2 linked regions of the Lepisosteus oculatus genome follow. The protein of the gene in region 2 purifies or fractionates together with the protein of the main gene of each other region. This does not show direct contact. Links are inferred from orthologs where the notes say so. Each region holds a gene or a part of one and is shown on either strand. Other genes may lie near its edges.

What was found. The genes of interacting proteins can lie anywhere in the genome.
Region 1: the proteins of beta-galactoside-binding lectin-like (region 2) and fibronectin purify together in Homo sapiens (affinity purification with mass spectrometry; 3 studies listed by BioGRID and IntAct, with this or other methods). This does not show direct contact. The link is inferred for Lepisosteus oculatus from reciprocal best matches to the Homo sapiens genes LGALS1 and FN1.

The regions. Positions count from the first base shown.
Region 1 is NC_090707.1:27,125,782-27,129,532, reverse strand, and holds the start of fibronectin, read left to right. Parts: upstream 1-907; 5' UTR 908-1,088; coding exon 1,089-1,227; intron 1,228-1,734; coding exon 1,735-1,860; intron 1,861-2,038; coding exon 2,039-2,176; intron 2,177-3,597; coding exon 3,598-3,729; intron 3,730-3,751. UniProt on the Homo sapiens protein: Fibronectins bind cell surfaces and various compounds including collagen, fibrin, heparin, DNA, and actin. Fibronectins are involved in cell adhesion, cell motility, opsonization, wound healing, and maintenance of cell shape.
Region 2 is NC_090707.1:37,171,068-37,174,818, forward strand, and holds the start of beta-galactoside-binding lectin-like, read left to right. Parts: upstream 1-804; 5' UTR 805-891; coding exon 892-900; intron 901-3,751. UniProt on the Homo sapiens protein: Lectin that binds beta-galactoside and a wide array of complex carbohydrates. Plays a role in regulating apoptosis, cell proliferation and cell differentiation. Inhibits CD45 protein phosphatase activity and therefore the dephosphorylation of Lyn kinase.

The DNA.
Region 1 (3,751 bases), about 10 Mb from region 2:
AAATGTTCTCAGTAGATACTCCCTTATACAGTGATAGCCTTACATAGTGCGCTTACTTGATTGGCACTGCTTATACTAAAAGGTGGAGGCAATTTCCAGTATTGTTTAAATGGAGGAATTTAATTTATGTTTCTGGAAAATTTTTTTCTCGAAACCGAGTTACAATTTTCCCGGTGGTTTCAATTATTCCCATTATCTTGTAACGGTCATTTCAGGATTTGATCTTATATGAGCGTGGTTCATTATTTTAAATAAATTAAATTTAAAATGTATTCCATAGAATTAACCAGTTACTTCACAGTCGTATGCCCCTTTGTGTCTAAGGCTTGAAATATTTTAAAAATACGGGTACTTCATTTTTTTGTAAATCTCAACAGATTGGGACGTGACTACGTTTTTTATAAAAAATATCACTAAATACCTTTATGCGTGTTACAATAAAATGATGTAAAAAAAACGGTTAACCAGTACAGAAACTAAGAACAAAGCAGTAATGTAGACAATTTTATTAAGGCACCGACCCACATAAAAAACGAAAATAAAAATCACGCTAATACATGGACGACTTACGATGCGAAGACGTGAAGAAAATGTTCATATCTGATCAAATCTACTGTTGTAAAAACCTCGCTTTGCAATGATTCGAAATCATTGTAGATCACGTTTTACAGTAAAACCAACGAAAATAAATCTAACTATAAATTTCCAGTCTTTTCCCGAAATAATATATACTAATTTACGGATAACATACAAAAAATAACATTATCCCACTTAAAGTTGTTTGCAAAGAAAATGGTTACTCTTTTCGATGACGTAAGTGTCCGAAGTGGTCTGAAGAACCTAAGACCCTCCTCTTCTGGAAAACAGATTCCCCGTTAAATAAAAACCCTCCCTGGAGCAGCCCTTCTCCCATTCCGAAGAGCTGGGGTTTGGTGATTGCAAGGGAAAGGGTTCAGGCCATTTGTCTTGGAAGTTTAACCTTAGGAATTAGATTGGCCGAGTGCTGATCTTTTTGAGGTTACTTTTGCTAGGGATAGCCCTACAAATAACAGTATTCGTGTTCGTGCAAAAGGTTTCAAAACTATAGAATGACTTGTAGCCCTATGATAGGCTTAATAGTTGCGTTATGTTTCAGCAGTGTTGTCCATTGTATGCCCAAACATGCAACTAAAAGCAAAAGGCAGGCTCAGCAAGTAATCCCTTTCGACGAAGCATCGCTTTCTCAGGGTAAGCATACCGTTTATCCCTACCAAAACTGGAATTTGGGTTCTCGCTTTTTATTATTGTATACCATTAAGTTCGCAGTTTAAAATTTAAAGGAGAGGTGATTGACCTGAGTTTTATATGACGATTTATGTTTAATGCGTTGCAATTACTGTGTAATTGGGCAGTTGCTGTTTTTGCAGTTTTTCTATTCGAAGAGCAGTTTATAAAGTAATAGCATCTCTTTTCTAGTAACGTACAACTTTACAGTAAGAAAGCTTGTTAGTGTTAATTTTACGGTGTTACTTTTACTTTTCTGTTTTTTTTTCAGAAAAGTAGGCGTACAAGATGAAGTACCTCAAAACTACGTATTGCCCTGTTTCCAGAATCTTGCCCATAGGTCGACTAAGCTCGAGGGTGTTATTTAACAATAATATGAAAGGAACACTGCGCCTTAAATATCTTTATGGTATAATTGATGAGGGGGATATTTTAACGCATAGTGAAATTGATTTTTCTTTATCTTCTTAGACGGCTGCCTTGAGGGCGAACGATTTTTTAGAATTAACGAACAATGGGAGCGTCCGTACCTGGGCAGTACATTGGTTTGCACTTGTCATGGAAGTAGAGGAATTAAATGCAAAACTAAACCAGAAGGTGAGTTTGCAGGAAGTTACTTTTTCCATAATATAATTACAGTACACTTCTGTAAAACTGGAATTAGAATAGGATATTTTTTGCGTACATCAACACACGGATACAAGGAAAGAATAAATATCATCAGATGGTGCATTGTAACTAAACTCCTAACTGTTCAATGCTTGCTTTCCTGTAGCTGAAGAAACTTGCTATGATAAAATCAATGGACGGACCTATCGCGTGGGAGAAACATATGAGCGTCCAAAGGATGGCATGATCTGGGACTGTACTTGCATTGGTTCTGGCAGAGGAAAGATTAGCTGCACAATTGCTAGTGAGTTTCATGTGGACCACGGTGTTAAAGGTTTTTTGGGCATGTTGTTGACTCTAAAACTTTTAACTGAAATAACATGGACTACTCCTTAATGGCTTGATTTTAAATTAAATTATTAAATTTGTAGTAAAATATACTTTATAATAGACATTACATTACAAACCTTAACTGTATTTGTCCCTTTTATACCCTGTAATAATTTTATTTCTGTATCAAGGTGTTTAGTCTTGCTAGTCATTGTGAAGTTGAATGTATTAAAAAAACAAAGATACTTTGTACTACACACCAGAACCACATCTGTAATGTCTTTGAAAACATAAATATTACTAGATGAAGCTGTTTGGCCCACCTAGCTTGCTGTTAGTAGCAAAATTCAGAATTTCTCAGTAATTTCTTGTAAAAAAGACTTAGGTTCAACATCATGGATGGATTACTTTAATCAGACTCCAACAAGCCTTTGTATAAAGAAAAAAAGTGGTTCCCCTTTTCAATTTGAAATGTGTTTTTTTCTTTGTTGTTGTTTCTGTTTTCCCATGTTTCATGATTTACTACTGATTGTGAACCCAAAGTGCATTGGGTTGAATTTGTGCTTTGGTAGTCTTTTATGTTTAAGACTGAAAACATGCAGTTCTGGACTGATTAGCTTTAGAAAACTGTAATACTATCTTAAATGAAGTCTTAAAATTAAGTAAGCTTATAACAGCTGATGAATTCAACTCAAACATTTAGCTCTCTAACACTCTTGGCTTCACTTACTGCTTCCCTATATTTAGATATGTGTGTGTACTTTTACAGTTTCATAAGTATCTTAAATGTCAGTGTTTAATGTCTTAGATTATATTTTGTTGTGGATGTGAAATTGCACATCTGCTTTAAATGTCATGTCACCTGATTTCGCATTCCTCATTAATTTCTTCTGTAGCTTACACAGTAACTAACTCTCCTATTTTTAATCTGTGTTTTTTGCTGTTTTACTATAGCTATAATCTGAATACAGACCCCTCTAGTACTCCACTAATTATATCACTGTAATTTGAGCAATAATTCACCCCTTTCCTGTACTGTTTTCTGCTCAGCAACATGCATTAACTTGAGTGCCTCCCAACAGCAATTTAATAATTGAAAATAATCCTTTGTTGCAATGATGGTGTCTAAAGCTTTACTTGTAATAGGAGCATGTTTTATGGTCTTAAGTTAGTTCAGTTTTGTCACCATATATAGATGTTTTACATTCGTTTTCTTTATACATGTATGTTTACAGAACATACGTCTGAGAGCTTCCCTCTCTAACCTTTATGTGTATATTTACTGAGAAGCATTAGTTCTGATGCTCATTTTTTGTGCTTTTAATGCTTCAGTGTGTACATATATACTGTACATAGCAAAAGAGGAGCCTATGGCAAATGTCTTGTTTCTGACAGACCGGTGTCATGAGGGAGGACAATCTTACAAGATTGGAGATACCTGGAGGAGGCCACATGAGACAGGGGGCTACATGCTGGAGTGTGTTTGTCTGGGAAATGGAAAGGGAGAATGGACCTGCAAACCTGTTGGTAAGCAGCAGGAAAATAAACA
Region 2 (3,751 bases):
GAGCGCCAGCCGATTCGGGGTTTAATTCACGGGTTGGATTGAAAAGGGCAGGTGTGGTCACTGATAGAAATGCTCTCCCCTGAGTCAGTGTCCCCCCTTTGTGCGAGAGGGGGGTCCGATGTCCGGGCCGCTGACCTCTCACGCTTTTCGACCCAATCGGTCAGAGGAGCGCATGGCTCTGTGGCTCAGGATCTGCGCCGGTGGCTGGAAGGTTGCCGGTTCAAATCCCGCAGCCGGCAGAGGAATCCTACTCCGTTAGGCCCCTGAGCAAGACCCTTAACCCCAACAGTACAATGGCTGACCCTGCGCTCTGACCCCCAGGTTCTCTCCCTGTCTGTGTGTCTCATGGAGAGCAAGCTGGGGTCTGCGAAAAGACAAATTCCTCATGCAAGAAATTGTAAAGGGTTAATAAAGTGATGTTAATCTTAAAAAAAAAAACTCTCTCACTTCCGAAGACGGTTCAGCTTCCAGGGGATAGAACATATTCGCTCCCTCTGGTTCTCTGCGGGGATAAAAAAAAGACTATTTGCCGAGGCACTGAAGAAATTTGTTTGTGAGGTGTTGAACGCAAAGAGCACCATTTAAGACAGATGGGTGTTAATATGGCAACCGTCTTAAATAATAATCCTAAATGTGGATGAGGTATTTAAGACTTGTAAAGATAAATCTCTACGCTCTGACCTTGGGCGTAGTCTAGCTAAGCAGCTGCAATAAATTCAAGTGCCGTCTCCCTTCCCCCCCCCCACCCTCTTCTGATTGGTGAAGGAGCCGCGCGTCCCGCTCCAGCGGCCTCCCCATTGGCCAGGAGAGTTGTCAATCGCTCAGATTTCTCCTTATAAGGGGGGGCCCCAGCCCGGTGCGCGCTCGGTCCGGCGAGATAAGACGGTCGAGATGAGCGAGGTAAGTGTGCGTGCGCTTCAGGGAAACCAAGAAACTCTCGCTTCCGCTGTCAGAAAGTTCAAAAACGGGTTTTAGGGTAAAAGGCAGGATCAAAGCCTGCAGTGTTATTTAAGCGAGGAGGATAAAATAACTTATCTGAGCATTTTACCTTGTGTGTTGGTTAGCAGTCCAACCCCTTCACTCCTGTAGATGTAGTCTTGTTTCGTAATTACAGAAGTGTTTTGTTTTCCGTTGCAGAACTGAGTAAAACGCGCTCAAATCGTAGTCTTTGCACCGTAATCCGCATGGATCCCCATCTTGATTCAGTGACTCAGCTGTAGGGCCGGGTGCCAGCAGGTTAAATAACGGACACAAAATAATAATGATGCGACAAAAAAAAAAAAACTGAGCTGCCCTTCTGAAAGAACTAGGGAAAAATATGTTCCACAGTTACCTCCCAGAGCAGCCCGAAAGCGGGCTGGATTCATTCGGTCGGGGTGAGGGGGTTGAGGATAAACCGGCGCGCTGGCTGGACAGGCGAATCTGATCGCTCATGTCAGGAGTTCAGTGCATGAGCCAGCCGGGGTGTATTCGGGATAGATACTGCTCTATAAATGCAAGGAAGTCTTAGTGAGGATTAACGGACACGCAGAGAGAGACAGAGAGAACTGTCCCGCTTTCTAACCGGTTATTAAACAGACGCATTTCCAGCACCCCGCAGCCGGCGAAAGAACCCTTTGAGATGACGGGGGTGGGGGCGCACGGGTGTACTGTATGTGTGTAGTCCGCTGCAGGCTCAGCTCAGCTCAGCCCTGCTCCATCTGCGGCTTGTTCAAGCCGCACACCGCCGGCGGACAGCCCCGCGAGCTCCCGGAGCGCAGCGCAGCGCAGCGCGGGGCGCGTCCGCGCGGTCACGGCTGCTGCGGGTTCCGGTTCCAGGTTCGGCACGCGCCCGCACCAGTAGCCCGTGTGTGGGCGCCAGTAGCAGATGGGGCTCTCTGGGGACCGGACTGGGAGACCTGTTGCTTATAGGTTGAGGGGTCAACCTTCACCCTTTTTAAAAGACGGGGACTACTTATAAGCATTATAAGCATTACGTATTATGAAGTAGTTCAAGCAGGGAGCTGCGACGGCACACGAAGACGGCAAAGGAACAAGTAAAGGGTTCACACCCGAAGAAGGCTCCACAGCCGAAACGCTGTGTCTCCTTTCTTCTCTTTTCAACAGGGAATAAACCTTCCCTTGCAGCCTACTTATAAGCTGTTGGGGAACTCTGGTCCTGTGGGGTAGCTGGGTGTTCAGATCGTTTGTGTTCCAAATGATCACCGACTTTGGAAAATGTGTATGTGCCGCTTAGCATCTGTCCAGTTTCCGCCCTGTTCTTCCTGTTTCGTGGGTCGAAGTCCGCCTAGTCTCTTCAATCAGCCTATTACTGAGGGTCTTCCTGATCACCTAGCTTATCTGCATGGCTGTGTGGAGAGATTTGGGAAAGTGGCCATAGAGCACAGGTTACCCGCACGCTTCAGAGCAGGAATGCAGGAAGCTAAAGGTTTTAATCCAGCAACAGCTGACAAAATTCACACAAACACAGGGGCACTTTTCCTCTCAAACGCAATTTGAATGTTTTATCAGCTCCGTTTTAATGCTGTATCTTCCCCGAGATCGCGGGGCTCGGCTGGGCCCGTCCGGTACCGGGGTGCGGGACTTCCACGGTAAACTAGGGTACTGGTACGTGTGGTATTCACAGGGAGCCCGTAGGAGTCCAGTCTGGGATTGGACAATCAGGCCTGCTGGCGGCTTTCCCATAATTCAGCTCTCGCTTGCTCTCCTGATGGTCTTTGCGGGATCACTGCTGCTCAGTGAGGGTCCTTGTTGACGTTAAAGACTGGAGCTGGAAGCTGCAGATCCAAGAATCTCGCCCATGAAGGGTCTTGCCTGTGCTTAGACTCCCAGGACTAAGGAAAATGTCTGCTGCAGAACCTTGTCTTGAAAGGGCAGTCCTGTGATCTGCCAGAAGGAACAGACCAATGGCTGTTCAGGGATGCAAAGACTTAGTGACCTGAGGGGTGGGTGACCCTGAAGGCAGATCGCAGTTGCCAGACAAGAGGCAGCCATGTGGTCCTTCTGGCTCATGAGGTTCCTAGTAGCTCTGGGATCCGGTGGTAACCTCCTGCCGCTTCCCGAAAGAAGCCATGAGTGGGCAGCTTGTTCCACACTCCCACCACCCTTGGCGTACAGACCTGCGTTCTCAGGCGACCCCCGGGTCCTGTGATTTTAGACGGGATGAACTGATGGCAAACCTCATTTTGAGCACTGAGACTGGGGGGGGGCAGGGATTGGACAAGATGGTAGGCGAGTCTGAACACAGGATGGGGCTTTGAAGTGTCCTGCAGTGTCCCCCACTCCCCTCCCCCGGTCGGTGTTCGGTGACGCCCAGCCGACTCTTCCCAGGGCCTGCCCGTATCCGTGGGGTTCGGAACTCTCTCGCCCGAGTCCCCTCCAGTGAAGGAGGGCTGGGAAGGGCCTTCTGCCAAGAGGAGTCGGGCTCCGGCCAGACTCACGCGGAAAGAATGCGCTCTGCTTATCCTCAATCCTGCCAGAGTGCTCGATTTATTTATTTTTTTTAATTGTTTAATTCTGCCAAAGGCTGAACGTAACTCAAATGTTAACGCAAATGTAAACTTGCGTCATCCGATTCAAACAAAATCCCTCATCCGCCCACGCCAGCCCGCCCTCGAACCACACCCCAGGCTTCGCTTTCGGGGTTCCCCCCTCCCCTCCTCTCATTTGAGCTCTCACTCAATCTCTCGGAAATCTGGGAGTGCTTTCGGACGCGTTTCTAGAAAGCGCCCCCGCCACACGAGACCTGTCA